Cricetulus griseus: one gene and its partners. The protein of the gene in region 1 interacts with the protein of each later gene in a biochemical or structural test. Links are inferred from orthologs where the notes say so. Each region holds a gene or a part of one and is shown on either strand. Other genes may lie near its edges.

Evidence for each region.
Region 2: of the proteins of Prkca (region 1) and high mobility group protein HMG-I/HMG-Y-like, one has a biochemical effect on the other in vitro, tested with the Homo sapiens proteins (2 studies listed by BioGRID). The link is inferred for Cricetulus griseus from reciprocal best matches to the Homo sapiens genes PRKCA and HMGA1.
Region 3: the proteins of Prkca (region 1) and Slc9a3r2 form a complex in vitro, tested with the Homo sapiens proteins (2 studies listed by BioGRID and IntAct, with this or other methods). The link is inferred for Cricetulus griseus from reciprocal best matches to the Homo sapiens genes PRKCA and NHERF2.
Region 4: of the proteins of Prkca (region 1) and Mgmt, one has a biochemical effect on the other in vitro, tested with the Homo sapiens proteins (2 studies listed by BioGRID). The link is inferred for Cricetulus griseus from reciprocal best matches to the Homo sapiens genes PRKCA and MGMT.
Region 5: the proteins of Prkca (region 1) and Hdac6 form a complex in vitro, tested with the Homo sapiens proteins (2 studies listed by BioGRID, with this or other methods). The link is inferred for Cricetulus griseus from reciprocal best matches to the Homo sapiens genes PRKCA and HDAC6.

Annotation. Positions count from the first base shown.
Region 1 is NC_048600.1:120,938,904-120,942,423, forward strand, and holds part of Prkca (protein kinase C alpha type), read right to left. Parts: intron 3,167-3,520; coding exon 2,993-3,166; intron 426-2,992; coding exon 334-425; intron 1-333. UniProt on the Homo sapiens protein: Calcium-activated, phospholipid- and diacylglycerol (DAG)-dependent serine/threonine-protein kinase that is involved in positive and negative regulation of cell proliferation, apoptosis, differentiation, migration and adhesion, tumorigenesis, cardiac hypertrophy, angiogenesis, platelet function and inflammation, by directly phosphorylating targets such as RAF1, BCL2, CSPG4, TNNT2/CTNT, or activating signaling cascade involving MAPK1/3 (ERK1/2) and RAP1GAP.
Region 2 is NC_048596.1:201,330,225-201,332,389, forward strand, and holds high mobility group protein HMG-I/HMG-Y-like, read right to left. Parts: upstream 874-2,165; 5' UTR 797-873; coding exon 506-796; downstream 1-505. UniProt on the Homo sapiens protein: HMG-I/Y bind preferentially to the minor groove of A+T rich regions in double-stranded DNA. It is suggested that these proteins could function in nucleosome phasing and in the 3'-end processing of mRNA transcripts.
Region 3 is NC_048600.1:44,234,662-44,238,935, reverse strand, and holds the start of Slc9a3r2 (Na(+)/H(+) exchange regulatory cofactor NHE-RF2), read left to right. Parts: upstream 1-1,463; 5' UTR 1,464-1,646; coding exon 1,647-1,859; intron 1,860-4,103; coding exon 4,104-4,274.
Region 4 is NC_048596.1:63,808,745-63,811,564, reverse strand, and holds the end of Mgmt (methylated-DNA--protein-cysteine methyltransferase), read left to right. Parts: intron 1-1,945; coding exon 1,946-2,149; 3' UTR 2,150-2,305; downstream 2,306-2,820. UniProt on the Homo sapiens protein: Involved in the cellular defense against the biological effects of O6-methylguanine (O6-MeG) and O4-methylthymine (O4-MeT) in DNA. Repairs the methylated nucleobase in DNA by stoichiometrically transferring the methyl group to a cysteine residue in the enzyme.
Region 5 is NC_048604.1:114,399,672-114,403,191, reverse strand, and holds part of Hdac6 (histone deacetylase 6), read left to right. Parts: coding exon 1-60; intron 61-145; coding exon 146-274; intron 275-438; coding exon 439-607; intron 608-855; coding exon 856-989; intron 990-1,588; coding exon 1,589-1,657; intron 1,658-1,776; coding exon 1,777-1,969; intron 1,970-3,197; coding exon 3,198-3,347; intron 3,348-3,520.

The DNA of each region.
Region 1 (3,520 bases):
AATGAATGGTGAAGTAGTCAATCTATAGGGGTGTTAGTGGGTGACAGAGAGGGAGGGCACCAACATGCCCAATTTGCTGAGAATAGAATCGACTAGTCCTTAGAAAATCTGTTATTCATGGGTCCTTTCTGTGCATCTGCTACTCGGGGAAGTTTCAATGCTTACATTCAAGTGAGTAGAGTCACCCTGGACATTTTATCCAGAAGGAGTTCCCAGTTGGGAGTATTAGGCTATCTGTATTACAGGATTCAAACAAAACAAAACAAGACAAAACAAACCAACAACAAAAAGACCAACCCACAATATTAATAAAGATAAAAAAAAAGTACTCACACTGCTTGGGGCTCCTTAAATTTCCCTACTTGCTGAATGTGGTACATGAGGTCCCCACCGTTGACATATTCCATGACGAAGTATAGCCGGTCCTGTAGACCAAGGTTCACACATGAGTGGTGAGTGGGGCTCCTCCCTCATGAGCAAATACGGGGTGGCACTGGCAGATCTGCTCTTCTGGGCACTCTTCCCAGTCTTTTCCCGGTGATGCTGGGGGATACACAACTCACCCTATGGCATGGGGCCCTGGGAAAGGTAATGCCCTGTAACAATCCTATGGCTGTGGGTGATGGCTGTCTGAGAACACGCCTGCTTCCTGGCTTCATATGAGCTTTATTACCATAAGGGCTTCATTCACCCCCATCCCCCCTGTACAGATGATATATCACTAAGCTGGTGGTGGTGCGGAGATTCCACATGGGCCCATCATTTTATCTTAACCTCTGTTATCGATGGTGCACATGTGTAAAATCTGGCTTGTGACATCTAGGAGGTATGCCATGCTAATATAGTAACAAGCTTAAATGGATGCTTCTGAAAATATATCTCTTGGGTTAGGTTGAACTCATAAATTATACAAACTTAATGATATTTAGTGGCGGGGGAGGGGAGCACCATAAATGGAAATTTTAATCAATGTTCTTTTGCCTCCATAATGTGTTCCAATATTGCCTTTTTATAAAAATTTTCTCTGTCACTGGTATGCTAAGTGCTGGTCCCATGGAGGGCATAAATCAGGGAGCCAAGTACGTCTGCATATTTATGAGGACATTATGCTGGGACAGATGCGTGAGAGCAGGGAATTTAATGAGGAAATAACCAAGAGCACAACAGAGCACCATAAAAGCTGACCTCTGCTCGAGTCTAGAAAACTCCCCACTTTTGCAGAGGTTACTAAGCATGAAACTGCAGCTTGGGGGAAGGAGAGATGAGGGAGCTGGTGCTGGCGGCCGTGAGTGGCTTCGGAGCTCCACTCTATCTTTAATGACATCTTCATTGCTTTGCAACTTTCCAGGGCTGCACTAGTGTCTGCGGGGTCACAAAGCAGGGTTGAGATTCAGTTCTCTCTCCTACTTGCCACTATCTCTCTGGCACTCCAGGAGAGCTGGAGCAGTGTGTGTGTGTGTGTGTGTGTGTGTGTGTGTGTGTGTGTGTGTGTGTGTGGTGTAGCAGCGGGGACACTGGGGCAGGAGCTGACCAGTGTGAGGCTGACACACAGTGGCCAATGCTGGCTCTGCAGCCTCCACACAAGCAGTGCCCACAGGGATGTCCCATTTTGAGACTCTGCCCATCCAAAGGCATTTAAGGTGTTTTCTAAGATTTTAAAAGGGGAACATAATCATGGATCCATTTCTGACTATAGGGCAGCTATAAAGAAGATGACAGATAATGACAGCTATTGGAGGAGTGAGACCTGACAACTGTACCTCATTTAAAAGGGGGCTTGGAGGTGGAGAACACCTGTCACATTGTGGTATGCATTTATTTGTTTGTTTACTTATTGAGACAGGCTTCTCTGTGTAACGGTCTTGGCTGTCCTAGAACTCACTTTGTAGACCAGGCTGGCCTTGAATACTGGCCAAGATACTCCATTTCCTAAGGAGCATGTCCCTGTATAATGAATGACACAGCAGGAGTAGCAAGCTATGCCCTGTCCTGCAGCCCATGAGCTGTAAAAAAAAGTCACAAGAAATAATATTTTCTGGCATGTGAAACTCAGACTTTAGTGTTCTAAGGACAAAGCCACGTCTGTCCACTTCCCTGTCACCTGCAGCCACATCCCCACTGTGATGAGGAGTTACAAGATGAGTTACAGTAGACATGCAAAACCTATATCTACTCTCTGACCCTTTTCAGGGGAAAAAAAGTCCTCATAAATGGCCCTAATAACACTGTGACCTTTGTCACAGAGTAAAATTAAAAAGAAAAAAAGTTCATATTACAAAGGCACTGTAGGGCTTTCCATCTACCACAGAAACATACACATTAAGATATACCACAATGAAGCCAGGCGTTGGTGGTGCACTCCTTTAATCCCAGCACTCGGCAGGCACAGGCAGGTGGATCTCTGTGAGTTCGAGGCCAGCCTGGTCTCCAGAGTGAGTGCCAGGATAGGCTCCAAAGATACACAGAGAAACCCTGTCTCGAAAAACCAAAAAAAAAAAAAAAAAAAAAAAAAAAAAAAAAAAAAAAAAAGATATCCCACAATGAGTTGGGCTTGGTGCATGCCTTTAATCCCAGCACTTGGGAGGCAGAGGAAGGCAGATCTTTGAGTTCGAGGCCAGCCTGGTTTGCTAAAGAAGAAGACAGGGCTGTGAATTTATGGCTGTTTTGTGTAAGTCCTAGCATAGGGCTTGCATGGAGAAGACCTTTCTCATACAGCCACTTCTAGGACCCTCATGGACACCCAGATCCGCCCATGTGCAAGCCCCTTATTTAAAGTGGTTTAGTATTTGCATGTAATCCATGCACATTTGCCTACTGAACCCAAATCACCTCTGGATTACTTATATCTAACATAACGCAATGAGGGATGAATAGTGGCAGCCTGTCCCCAAAGGAAACTGAATTTAATCAGCAGGGTAAGTGGGTGGGTCTTGAGACCATGATTCAGCCTCCAGGTAAGAGGGGGTGTCTGAGAGAGAATCCATTGTTTTACCACTGTCTGGAAGCAGGAGTGCAGCTGGGTCAGGAACGGGGGCTTATCCAGCAGGGCCAGAACCCGCTTTTCCACCATGGTGCACTCCACGTCATCATCCTGGATCACCACGTCCTTCTTCAGGATTTTGATGGCATACAGTTCCTCTGTTCCCTTCCTGTCAGCGAGCATCACCTGGGGGTGGAGGGAAGGAGAGAAGGCTCAACACTGGTGGGCAGTGGAGTCTGGGAGTGGGAGTGGAGGTTGTGAGGAACAAGGGCAGGAGACCGTTCAGCAACCCATGGTGCAAGTCTGAGAGTGTGAGATGAAAAACATACTTAGCCATTTTGATATGGTTCCATTATGGGTAGCAGCGCTTACGGTCCACATGCAGAAGTCTTGGTCCCTGGTGTGGCAATAGTGGGGAGTGGGAGTCCCTGGCAATAGTGGGGAGAGGGAGTCCCTGTAGGAACTAAGGTCTGTTCTAGCTTCAGTTCTGTTGCTGTGATACAATACACTGACCAAAAAAAATTAAGGGGGAAATGATTT
Region 2 (2,165 bases), on another chromosome or scaffold:
CAACCTAGTCAGGGCCTAGGTAAGGTGGGGCAGAAGTGGCTGAGAAACCCACCTGGTGACAGTTTGGTAGGGGAGGGCATGTTGGGATCTAAGCATCCCAGTACTGACCACACCTGATGCTAGGCCAGTCAATGGGACTTGTCAGATGGGGCTGCGGCCCTTTAAAGCCAGGGAATGCTCTCAGGACCCTCCCTCTACAAGGAAGCCGGGAAGAGCAGAGCAGAAAGGGCCTGCAAAACAAAGAGCCCAGAGACCACTCTCTCTAAGAGAGGTGCGCAGCACCACAGGCTGCGGCTAAATGGGAAGTTAGCCTTGTCGGGAGGGGGCAGGTGTGTTTGGGAGAGCACATGGGCTGAGCCAAATCCTGCTCAGGTCGGTGCCCCCAGAGCCTGCAGCTGGTGCGGTAGTGTGCAGTGGGGGTGGGGAGGGGCCTGGAAGCAGGGCTTCCAGTCCCAAGGGAAAGCTGCTCCTTCGATGGCCAAAGAGCAGGCGGCACTGTGCATGGTCACTGCTTCTCCTCCGAGGACTCCTGGGAGATACCCTTCTCTTCCTCCTTCTCCAGTTTCTTGGGTCTGCCCCTTGGTTTCCTCCCTGGAGCTCTGGTAGCTTTCTGTGTCTTGGCAGCACCTTTATTTTTGCTTCCCTTTGGTCGGCCCCGAGGTCTCTTTGGTGTTGGTACTTCACTGGGCTCCTTCGGAGGCTGCTTGCGCGGCCTACCCCGGCCTCGCTTCTCAGTCCCGTCCTTCTCCTGCTTGGAGGCCAGAGGCTGGCTGGACTTTGAACTGGACTCGCTCATCTTCCTTCTCTACGGGACAGTAGGGGGCACTGGCTGTGATGGCCTTCTTGGAGCAGCGCCAACACCAGAAATAGCCCCGACTCCGGAGTCGGGGAGCACAGTTAGAGGAGCACAGCACGGCTCAGGGGAGCTAAGAAAAAAAAAAAAGAAAAAAAAAAAAGCTAGAACTCTTCTTTCAAACCACAGTTCCTCTCAAAAATCAAATTCGGGAGCTGGTTGCTTGTGGTGAGGTAAGCAACCTAGCTGTTTCTAACCCAGAGGCCAGGGCTTTTGTTTCCCATCCCTCATCACCCAGGGGACTAGGCGGAGCCTTGGGGTACTTGAGATAAAGTTCTCTCAGGTGCTGTCTTTCTTTGGGCTTCCTCTTCTCCCGAGAGGCCTCTACTAATTGTGAAGGAAGTGAAATGATTTCCAATTTATTTAAGAAGATATCTGAGGTGGAACACACTTATGATTCCTGCACTTTGGGGGTTGGGGGCAGGAGGGTCAGGAATTCAAGGCCAGTCTTGCCTACCGGGTAAACCTAAGACCTTCCTGGGATATATAAGGCCCCATCTTAAAATAAACACATAAAAAAGAAAACTAAAGGAAGGAGATGAGGGAAGGAGAGAGGAGGAGAGGGGAGAAAAGATGGAAGGAGGGAGGGAAGGAAGGAAGAGAAGTAGAGGAAAGAAAGAAAGAAGGAGAGAGGGAAGGAAGAGAAGGAGAAGAAGGGAGGGAGAGAAAAGGGAGAGAAGAAAAGAAAAAATGAGGCTGGTTGATTTGAAGAACACAGGACTCGCTGTGGGGGGCTTCGAGATCATTAAGATTGCTTAAGATGTATCTATACATGTGCATATATCTATGTGTCATAAAGGTAGAAGGATCTAACCAGAAAGAGGAAGGGCTCTAGCAGGGAGGGCAGGGAAGACTAATGAAGGAATTAGAAAGGTCAAACTACATAATATGCTTGAATCAAAATGTCATTGTGAAATCCAAAGCTGTATAATAAATATTGGCTATATGATTGGTGGGGGAAGACTCACCAAGTTCTTCTGAAATAGTCGGGAATGTCCTCCGGCAACCAAAACCTGCTTTGGGGGAACGCCTGATGCTCCGTGCCGCCTCCCTAGGCCTGCAGTTTATAAATCGACCAAAATCTGCAGAAAAGCAAAACGCTTAAATTGTACTGAGCCATCTGCCCGCCTGCTCTGGGTGCTGGTGACACTCTTGGAAGGTGACTATCAAGAGAGATAATGGATCAGGAGATAAGGCTGGAGCATGGCAGCCCTGTGCCAAGCTGCCAGTCAGGCCCAGACACCCTTAGCCTTCTCGTTCCTGTTAAGTGAAACGTAGGGATCTCTCTGTGAGTACAGACAGAGCTCTTACT
Region 3 (4,274 bases), about 77 Mb from region 1:
AAAGTTGCAGTTAGTACGTCTGGGATAGTCCTGGTTGTTGTGGGATAATTTCCAAGTTCCACACAGGTGGGATATACAGTGAGCATACTGTTCATACACATTATCTTACAATCTCCAGCATTAAGCTGGACCCAGAGAAACCAACCCTAAAACAGACAAACCCTGGGTAAGGCAGGCCGACCGATGGAGATGGTCAGCTGGGCCAGAGCCTATGGCAGCATCATCCAGAATCTGCAGAGAGGGTTGGGGGCAGGGAGCAACAATGTATCTTCAGCCTAAGTGCCTTTCAGGGGCAGCCACTAGGGTGTGGGTACCCAAGGGGCTGCTGCCTATGATTTTGCTCAGAGGCGGTCCTGGTGCTTGGGTGGAGGTGGAGAGCTCCAGCTAAGGGCTCCGGAAAGAGGAGAGGGAGAGGCAAACACTGAACTAGGGCTGCATCTCCTATCCACATGGGGAATTGTATGAACTGGCTATACCTGATCCAGGGGGACCAGGTAAGTGAGGAGCAGTGGGCTGGGGAGAAGCAGACTGTAGGTGAGCCTGGATCTCAGCTGCCATATGTGCCTGAGAATATACTTGCAGGTCAAAGTGCAGTCTCACAGTACTAGGCTCCAAAAAAGGTTCAGAACCTCCCTTTGCCAGGCCTCGGTTTCCTGATCTGTAAAATGGCCTCTTTCCTCCGGGGTTGTTCTGAGGGTAACTGTATAGGAATATGCATAAGTGATTCTCTGAGGGACTGCTGTCCCGCAGGTGAGAACTTACACAAGTGTAAAAGTAAGAGTTTATGGGGGATAGAGGATGGGAGACCTGTGGGGTTTAATATGGGACAGCTGGTCACCACCTAGAGCTCAGGAGCCAAAGTTCATCCTTAGCAGAGATCATACCAGGTCAAGAGGAAGGCAGCAAATACCCTTGCATCTCTGCCAGATAAACTCATGTTCCCGAAAAGCAGGGACTATGGGTTCAGGATGTTTAGTGAACAAACACTTCCTGGGAGGGGCAGGGGGTCACCTAGTCACTGGCATGTCTCTTTAAATTTGTATTTTGCCTGTTGCACTCTGTGTTGGGGATCTAAATTCAGAGGGCAAAGAGGGAGCGGCCAGAGCAATCCCGGTGCGGTGCGTAGAGGTGTATTCCGAGGAGGGAGAGCAGCGGCCCCTGTTCTTGCCCTCTGGTCTCTGTGTAGGGGTCCTTTCTCTAAGCTCCCTATTTCAGGAACCTCTTCAATGTAGGGAATGTAGGGTATGCAGGTGTCTATGAGTGGTTCCTGGAACAGAGGGCGAAGGTGCTTCGGAGGGTGGCCAAAATGGGATGACATAGGAGTCCCAGGGCTCGGGGTTGTGACCCTGCAATCTTCGCTCCATGGTCTGGGCTCCCAGGCAGGGGCCTAGCTAGCGGGGCTTGGGCTAGGGCGGGGGCAGCCAGGAGGGCGGGGAAGGGGCGGGCGCGGGGGCGGCGCGCTGCAGCAGGAGCAGGAGCAGGGGCCAGGGCCAGAGCCGAAGCCGGAGCCCGAGGCGACGCGAGCTGAGCGGGAGCCACAGAGGCCGCTGCCTGCTCTCCCGCCCGCGCCTCCGCCGCCTCCGCGCTCCAGCCTGCGGGGGTGTGAGCCGTGGCCAGTCGCGGCCAGCCAGGGGGCAGCGGGTGCCATGGCCGCGCAGGAGTCGCTGCGGCCCCGCCTGTGTCGCCTGGTGCGCGGCGAGCAAGGCTACGGCTTCCACCTGCATGGCGAGAAGGGCCGCCGTGGCCAGTTCATCCGGCGCGTGGAGCCAGGCTCCCCAGCCGAGGCGGCCGCGCTGCGCGCCGGGGACCGCCTGGTTGAGGTCAACGGCGTCAACGTAGAGGGCGAGACGCATCACCAGGTGGGTCCCTGCGCTGCGCCCCGCCCCCCGGCACCCTCCTGGGGGCGCGTCCCTACAGCGCTGGCCAAGATGCCAACAACCCCCACTTCTGCGTGCCACATGGTGGGACCCGGCCAGGGTCGCACAGGGGCCTGCCTGGGTTCGGTGTTGAGGTGTGGGACGTGGCCGGCCAGCTGGCCTCCTGGTGAGGAAGCTCAGTCCTGCACTAGCGGGGGAGGGAGGACATCCTGGTAGGGAGGGGCCGCACTGCGGCTACTCTGGCCAGGGCCCTGGCTGCTTCTGCTAGTTTTGGCCTCTGTGTGCCATGGAGGGGGAGGAGGTGGCTAAGGCACCTTGTGGCCTTGTGGTACAGATGCTTTTCTGTCAATGTGTGAGTGCTTGCAGGTCTCTCTGGGGTCATCCATATGAACACACTACCCAACTGTTCCAGGATGAAAGCATTCAGTGTCAGTGCTGGAATGTGTGTCTAGGGTTGGGTGGATACATCAAACATGTATGCCAGCTGTGTGTGTGTGTGTATGTGTGTGTCCGTCCATCTGTCTGTCTGCATGATTGGATATACTGGTGTACTTCTCTCATGGGCCCTTATGTCTGGGTCTGGCAGTCAGCACCATGGCAGTATACTTCCTTGGTGTCAGAAACAGCCTCCTCCTGAGAGGCTGCCTGGCCCTCCCTGTATAGGTCACTGTTCAGCTCTTGCCTTCTGTAGCCAGAGGAAGGCTGTTCTCTCCTCAGGTTTTACCTCTGGGTGTCTGTATCCTGCTGAGGGGTAGACACACCTCAGACCTTGGCTAGGGCCCAGACTTCTTCCACCATTTCTGCCTGGATCCCTGGTACCAGCATGTCCATGACCTACCTGTGTGGTTAGTCTTGGAGCCTGGAGAAGGCAGGGTGGTACTTCACTGGGCCATGAGGGAATTCCTGTCTCCCTCAGGAACCTGCTTTCTACCTACAGTGACCACTGGATTTGGTTGTGTGATGAAGAGTTTGGGATGGAGCCCAAAGGTTGGCCCACAAGGCAAGGTAGAGACCTGCAGGGTTGGTGTCATCTGCCTCTAGCAGTTACTGGAATCCACCTGTTTATCGCAGGTTTCTGGGGTGCTAGTCCCTACAGACTTTCACGCAGAGCCACATTCGATCCTTTCTCCTGCTCAGGAAGATAGGAGGTAAAACCATGACTCCTATTTTACTGACTGGCTCCGTTCCCATGCCAAAAGGTGTCAGGGTGCTGGGATCCTGTTCTATTGGTCACAGGGAGAGAGGATGGTCATGGAGGGGCCAGGTGAAGGTGGCTGTGGGTCAGACCTTCCTATCTGTGATAGGATAGCATGTACTAAGTGAAGTAATGATGGGGATTCCGTCTCTTCAGCCGCAGGCCTTGGTGCAGTTGTTAATGCTTCCTGCCCTTCAGATGTCCGGTGGGCATGTCTCCCTTTGAACTCAAACTAACATCCTGCATGATCCATGGTAGCCCACATGCTCTCCACACTTCACAGGCACCCATCCAGATACACAGATGGCTGTCAAGCCACACCTCTTACACTGTTGTATCTGCTACTGTTCGCCTTACCTGCTGGAGTGGGATCCTGCTTACCTGATATTTCTGGCACCTTAGGTAGAATCTCTAGTTCTTCACCCCTTTGCAGGTGCAGCAAGAATGGGTTTCTAGTCCTGGTCTGGAGGCAAATTGGAGTTCTAGAGATTTCTGGGTGTTAGATTCACACTGCATCTCAGAGAAAGAAATAAACCCAAATACTCACATTGGGGCCATGTAGCCCTCTCCTACACCTAGGCGGAAAGACAGACTTTAAAATAGATGCACATACAGACACACACACACACACAAAAGCACACACATACAGATAAGCATGCACACACACATGCATAGACTAGACTGAAATCCTGAAGCTCAACTCAATCGTTTCTGACTCTTCCATCTGGCTGCTCCTGGCATCTCCTTCCTGTCCTTACCTGAGCTTGGTGCAATGCCACAAGAGGATCCTGAAGTACTTGCAGCCTGGGCCCTAGCTCAGGGAGAAGAGGGAGGGAGCTACTGGAAACTGGGGGTGGGGGGTGGAGCTCGCAGGCCTCTCAGTCCAGCTGCCCACCCCTGGCAGGCCAACCCCTGCCTGCTGTCTGTGAGTCGTGCTTTGCCAAGAGTGGCGCCCTTTCGAAGTGGTGCCCTATCCATGTGTTGCCCAGCGTGTTGGCTGCTGATCTAGTCCTGCTACCCACCCATTCCAGGTGGTACAGAGGATCAAGGCTGTGGAGGGGCACACTCAGCTGCTTGTGGTGGACAAGGAGACAGATGAGGAACTCTGCCGGCGGCAACTGACCTGCACTGAGGAGATGGCCCATCGAGGGCTTCCACCAGCCCACAACCCCTGGGAGCCAAAGCACGACTGGGCATGCTCG
Region 4 (2,820 bases), on another chromosome or scaffold:
TGAATCCACAGCATTCTCTGCAGCAGGCACACAAGGCATGCCCCTTGACAGGGCAGGTATGCAGCCATCCCTGGCAGGCTGAGTGTAGTCACGTGGTTGCCCAGGGAGAGAAGTTGGGGGGTGGGTCCAAATGTTACTCCACCCACGATGAGTTTCACAGGTGATACCATTTTTTTGTACCCATGCTCTGAACCAGTGAGGCATAAAGGTATGGGGATACCAATATATTCCTTTATTGGAAAGATAGCAATATTGGAGGAGATGACGTAGCCCTGGCGTCTTTCCGTTGATTCCCACCAGGGTGATGTCCCATCACCAGCCCTGCCATCTCTGATCACAGGTTGACCTTCTCAGAAGGAATCCAGAGTACAGACAAAACTTCTGCAGACCCCCTGACTGTTCTCATCCCTTCCTTCCCTGCAGGGTGGAGGCAGGTCAGACCAGAAGTGTCTCTACCCACACAACAGAAGGGCTTCAGTAGCTGTCTAGCCTGCATGGATGATGGGCCATGGAGCCTCACTCCACATAGCCCAGCCATGTGCTCAGTGACATAGGCAGACATTTGTCAGTCCCCTGTGGACCGCTGCTGAAGTAAACATACTCCCTCTACAGAGACAGGTATTCCCTTGTCCTAGTGACTGGAGGTCAAAGAACGCAGCCTGGACAAGGTTATAGCCTTGTGGCTACAGGTTGAGAATCAGAGTCCCTCTGGTGTGAACAGTGCCTTGGAGCCAAGGCCCCATGAACACCTGGCATCCAGATCTTTTGAAGGTGTCTACAGGTTTGCATGGTGCCAGCTATGGTAAATGATGGGCCAGTGGGCTCATGAGATTACAGGCCCCTGTTTTTGAGTTTGTCAGAGTCAATAGGAAGAAACACCCATTTTTGATAACTCCCTTGAATCATTCCCCAATTCTTTGATTGGTGTGACATTTTGCAATAGCAGGTGAGTGGGCAAATGGCTCAGAACACACAGACCCCACCACAGCCAAGGCATACGCATGTCTGGACATCATCCCTGGTACCCTCTGACAGTCATCTCCACCTTACATGCTTGTTCCCACTAAGAAGTGGCCTCCCTTAGAGTCAATCCACCATCTTAGTGTAGACCATTGAAGCTTAGTTTTACTCACACCATTAAAAACTGGAGAGCGGTCTGGGAACCTCAGACCATCTGAGTTGGGAAGCCGCAGCAACTTGATAAGGACTTCCTAGTCCACAGGCCTTGTTGGGGTGGAGTGGCCCACTGATCACACCTGGCTTTGGATGTGCTGCCAGTGGCAGCGTGTCCAGGGGAAGGCATACATGTAGGTGCCTTTGAGACTCTGTGTCTTCAGAAGAAAGGGGAAAGAAAAACTCCCAATACATAGGCACAGCATAACTGGCTTGGCCAACTTTTCTTGTAAAGGCAACTGGGAAAGATTTTGTGCGTTCACGAAGCAGCCACAGATGGCAGCCAAAGGCATGACTGTGCTCAAATGAAACTTTATTTACAAAATCTGAAGGTGGACAACAGCAGCCCCTCAGCCATGGTTTGCCAAGCCCTTAGGTAAACTGGGCCTGCCATCATCCCTGAAGATTCTCATTACAGCTTGGGGATGGCAGAGAAAGTGTGTGGAACTCAGAAACGTAGTTTTAATTTGAGTAGGTACACATGGTAAATCACTCCTCAGATGCAATCAGTGCCCTCCTCCTCAACCTTGATACAAAAAATCTCATATCCCACACATACCTCAAAGCAGGTGTTCCGTTCCTCAAAGGATACCTTCAAGGCCTCTGAAGGGTGCACAGTAGGGGTACTGAAGGAGCTAGTATGACCACCATGCCAGCAGCACGCCCACTGGGGATCTACCTAGTGGAGCTGAACAGTCACAGGCAAGACCTGGTAGGTAGCACAGGAACCTCAACCCAGAGCCAGACTGACAGTGACATTTCTGCTTTTCAGGTCCCCATCCTCATCCCCTGCCACAGGGTGATCTGCAGTAACGGCAGCATTGGTAATTACTCTGGAGGAGGGCAGGCTGTGAAGGAGTGGCTTCTGGCCCATGAGGGCATCCCAACTAGGCAGCCAGCCTGCAAGGACTTGGGTCTTACCGGGACCCGGCTCAAGCCATCCGGTGGCTCCACCAGCTCCAAGCTATCTGGCTGAAATTGAGTAACTGTTTGAGTGACACACAGATGTAACGCCGTGTCGGAATCGGGTGTGTGGTGGTACCACTATATTAAAAGAGCTGGATGTGTCCTGGGGGACTCGATGTGGCTGCCCTTTCTTGTTTCTACATTTTACAGCAGAATGAGTTCAGACGACCCACCCTCGTGTATGTCATCAGTTCCCTTCTCTGACATGGTTATTGTTCTATTTTTAATGCCTATTAAAATGGGGGTAAGAGTGAGAAAGGCCTTGTGAGCCTTAGGGCCCCTTTACATGAAGGGAGATGCATCTGACCCCTGCAGGCAACAGCTAGCCACCTCACACAGTCCACACTACACAGCTGACCCCACCCTAGCAGGACCCCCAAGTCATCCTGCAAGCCACTTATTGTATGAAGATGGCTGCCCCATTTAGTTCCTAACACCCCACCCTTGCTGGCTGGAGGACGGATAGGCTAAGAAATAAATACCGTGTGGAGAGTCTGTGGTGTTTCTCCATCTACCAGGAAAGTGTCTTGCATCCACTGTGGCACTGTGTTCTACAATGGTTAGATAGAAAAAAAGTACCATCTTCCAAAAATGATTTGGAATGCTGAATAGCACACAGGACATAAATTTGACTGGGCTGGTGCCCTTCTAGGCATTCAAGTCACCTCCAAATTCTAGCCA
Region 5 (3,520 bases), on another chromosome or scaffold:
GGATCGCACTGGGCTGGTCTATGATGAAAAGATGATGAGTCACTGCAACCTATGGGACAAGTATGTAGTCAGAGGGCTGGAATGAGTTCTGGGATCACTCATCTCAGTTACTGAACCCCTGGTTCTGGTTTTCCCCCACTACTAGTCATCACCCTGAGACACCTCAGCGCATCTTACGGATCATGTGCCACCTGGAGGAGGTGGGCCTCACAGCACGCTGCCTCATCCTACCTGTGCGGCCTGCCATGGATGCTGAGCTTCTTGCTTGCCACAGGTCAGACCCTGTGCCAGGGCTAGACCAGGTGCAGGTTATAGGGACATTCTAGGGGTAGGGCCTGGGGCTCTCCTCTAAGGTGGGTGGAGCTATTGCTCACCTACAGAGGTCCAAGTTCTTATCTGGGGATGTGCTCATGGCTAGTTGTTCCTTTGTGTCTCCAGTGCCGAGTATGTGGATCGTGTTCGGGCCACAGAAAAGATGAAAACCCGGGAGCTACACCGTGAAGGTGCCAACTTTGACTCCATCTACATCTGCCCCAGCACCTTTGCCTGTGCGCAGCTTGCCACAGGGGCTGCCTGCTGCCTCGTGGAAGCTGTGCTTTCAGGACAGGTGCGTCTTCTGTGGGTGCCAGTGCCAGTGCAGTTTGACTGGAGAGATGAGGTCCTGAGGAGACAGAAAGAGAGGACCACCTGCTCTTACTTAGGTGGACAGAGGCAATGGGAGAGTGTGCTGGGAGGAGCATCCCAGAGTGACTCCCCAACTAACTGGTAGAGTAGACAAGAGAAAGGGAAGGGAAGAACGGAAAGGCCAAGAGGGAGGGCCAGAGATCCAGTCTTCCTCACTGCTCCTCTCTGCAGGTGTTGAATGGCATTGCAATAGTGCGTCCTCCAGGACACCACGCAGAACCAGATGCTGCTTGTGGTTTCTGCTTTTTCAACTCTGTAGCTGTGGCTGCTCGACATGCTCAAGCCATTGCTGGGCGTGCCCTGCGGTAAGAGATCCCCACTGATCCCCCAAACCTGACCTTTGAAGGGACCTGGACACTTCTCCTGCCCCCATTCAGTCTTATGTGGCAGATCCATGGTCCAACCCCAGGAGCTTTCATAGAAACAAGGAAGGGTCCACCGGGCAGCACTTGACTACAAAAGAGACAGGAGGATTGTATTAGTGTCACCAGATCATTTCATCTAGATGCTTGATAAACTAGGATCCTGGGTATTCTACATTCCTGATCCCTAACAGGTAATTCCAACAAAACCCAAGCCCAGGCTACCGGTACTTACTCCAAAAGACTTAGGGTTTGGCATGTGACATTAGTCAACCAGTCCCAGAGCCCTATTCCCTAGTCAGTCCTCAGAAGAGACTAGGACCTAGCCTCAAGTACTTGTTTAGGCCCATAGTAAAGCCCTTAGAAACCAAGGTTAGACCTTTAGTCTTAAAATGATGGCCAGTGCTTTCACAAGATACCCGTGGTCCTGCTACCCAGCAACAAATGCTTCCGAAGACCTCAGGAGTCTAGCTAGCCAGAGCCCTCCCTCTCCTCGAGCCCTCCCTCTCCTAGCTGCTAAAAGGAGCTATTTCCCTCCCCAGGATCCTGATCGTGGACTGGGATGTTCATCATGGTAATGGAACTCAGCACATGTTTGAAGATGACCCCAGGTGAAGGATGGGACTATGGGCAGAATGTGGTGTGGGAGGGTGCTGCACCATATTTGCAGGGATGTTTGTGGCCCCTAACTTATTGTGGCCCCTTTCTCATCCTACCCTCTCCCCGGCAGTGTATTATATGTGTCCGTGCACCGGTATGACCATGGCACTTTCTTCCCCATGGGGGATGAGGGTGCCAGTAGCCAAGTAGGCCGAGCTGCCGGTATAGGCTTCACTGTCAATGTGCCCTGGAATGGGCCCCGCATGGGTGATGCTGACTACCTGACTGCCTGGCATCGTCTGGTACTTCCCATCGCCTATGAGGTAAGTAAGGCTCTGGTCATTATGTGACATCTGTGTAGGTGGCAGCACTTACCTGCCTCCTCAGCATGTGTGTTTGAATACAAGGTCATTTGGTGGCTGTTGGGACAGAAGTGGCAGTGACAGCCTCATGTATCTGTCTGTCTGAGCATGCACATATGGCTGCATGTGAGTGGCCTCTCTGTATGACATTTTATATGTGAGCAACTGTCTTGGCTGTGTATGTATGCATGTGTGTGCCTCCTGGATAAGTCTGCCAATGTGTGGGCATGGTTGTAAGGGTATCCGTAAGAGATGCTGTCTCTGTGAAACTGTGTGTACAAGGGAGGTAGGAGGTTGAATGCATGTGTATAATGTTGCACAGTGCCGGTTATCTTTCTATATGTGATAGGTGTGATACTGGATGCCAGCCACTCAATACTGCTGTCTTGTGATAGCTTGAGAGAGATCTTCTCAGTGTTGGAGGCTATAGTGAGATCATCATCATCATGTCTGGTTGACTGGGTCCAGATGTCTATGTGTTGGGTCTCCCTGAGTGCTCTGACTCCGGGTTGGCCTAGCTGTGTGGCCAACCTGGGGGCGTGTGTGTGTGTGTGTGTGTGTGTGTGTGTGTGTGTGTGTGTGTGTGTGTGTGTGTGTGACTGACTCCATGAGGACGCAACTCTGCCAGTCTGGACTTAGGAGTGTGCTTCTGGATTTGCATGCATGTGACTATAAACAGGTGGGAGAAACTAGCCTTCATGTGTCTGTCCAACTGCATGCAAGTGATTGCCCCCTGTGGGCATGAGCAGAGTGTGCATAACTATTATAACTGTGGTGACTGTATGCAGCACATTGTGCCTGTGCAGGGGTGGCTGTGTCTTACTTTCCCCGTAAGAAACCAAGTATATATGTGGAACTGGTGTGAGTTGCAGTTCTGCCAGTGTGCGTATCTAAGATTGGGAGTGGGGGTGTATGACACTCATATTAGTATATATGATGTATGGGCCTAGGCCCTTGGTTCATGTCAGACTAATTCTACCACTGAACTACCGGCTCTTCGCACTAGTTCGTGTTCCCAACCCTAACCTAGCCTTAACAGGCTGTCCACGTCTGCTCCTTATTTTCAGTTCTCTGTTCTCATAACCTCTAGGTTCTGAATTGCATTTCCATGCCTTCGTTTGTCATTGTTTCCATCACTTACTGCCTCCCAAAGCCTTCATGCTGTGTGTCTCTTCTCTCCTTACTGCAGTTTAACCCGGAACTGGTACTGGTTTCAGCTGGTTTTGATGCTGCACAAGGGGACCCACTGGGGGGCTGCCAAGTGACACCTGAGGGTTATGCCCACCTTACTCACCTGCTGATGGGCCTTGCCAATGGCCGCATTATCCTTATCCTAGAGGTAACTCTCTTGATCCTTCTTTCCATGGCAGGAGGGCAGTTTGGAAGGGTTGGCTATGTCAGTCTTAGAAAGCTTACTTGTCGGAACAGCACTGTGAGGTAGAGTCTGTTTAGCTCATGTTCCTCTCAAGGTCAGAGGGACCAGCTGGTTGTAGCGGCACATACCATCCCAGC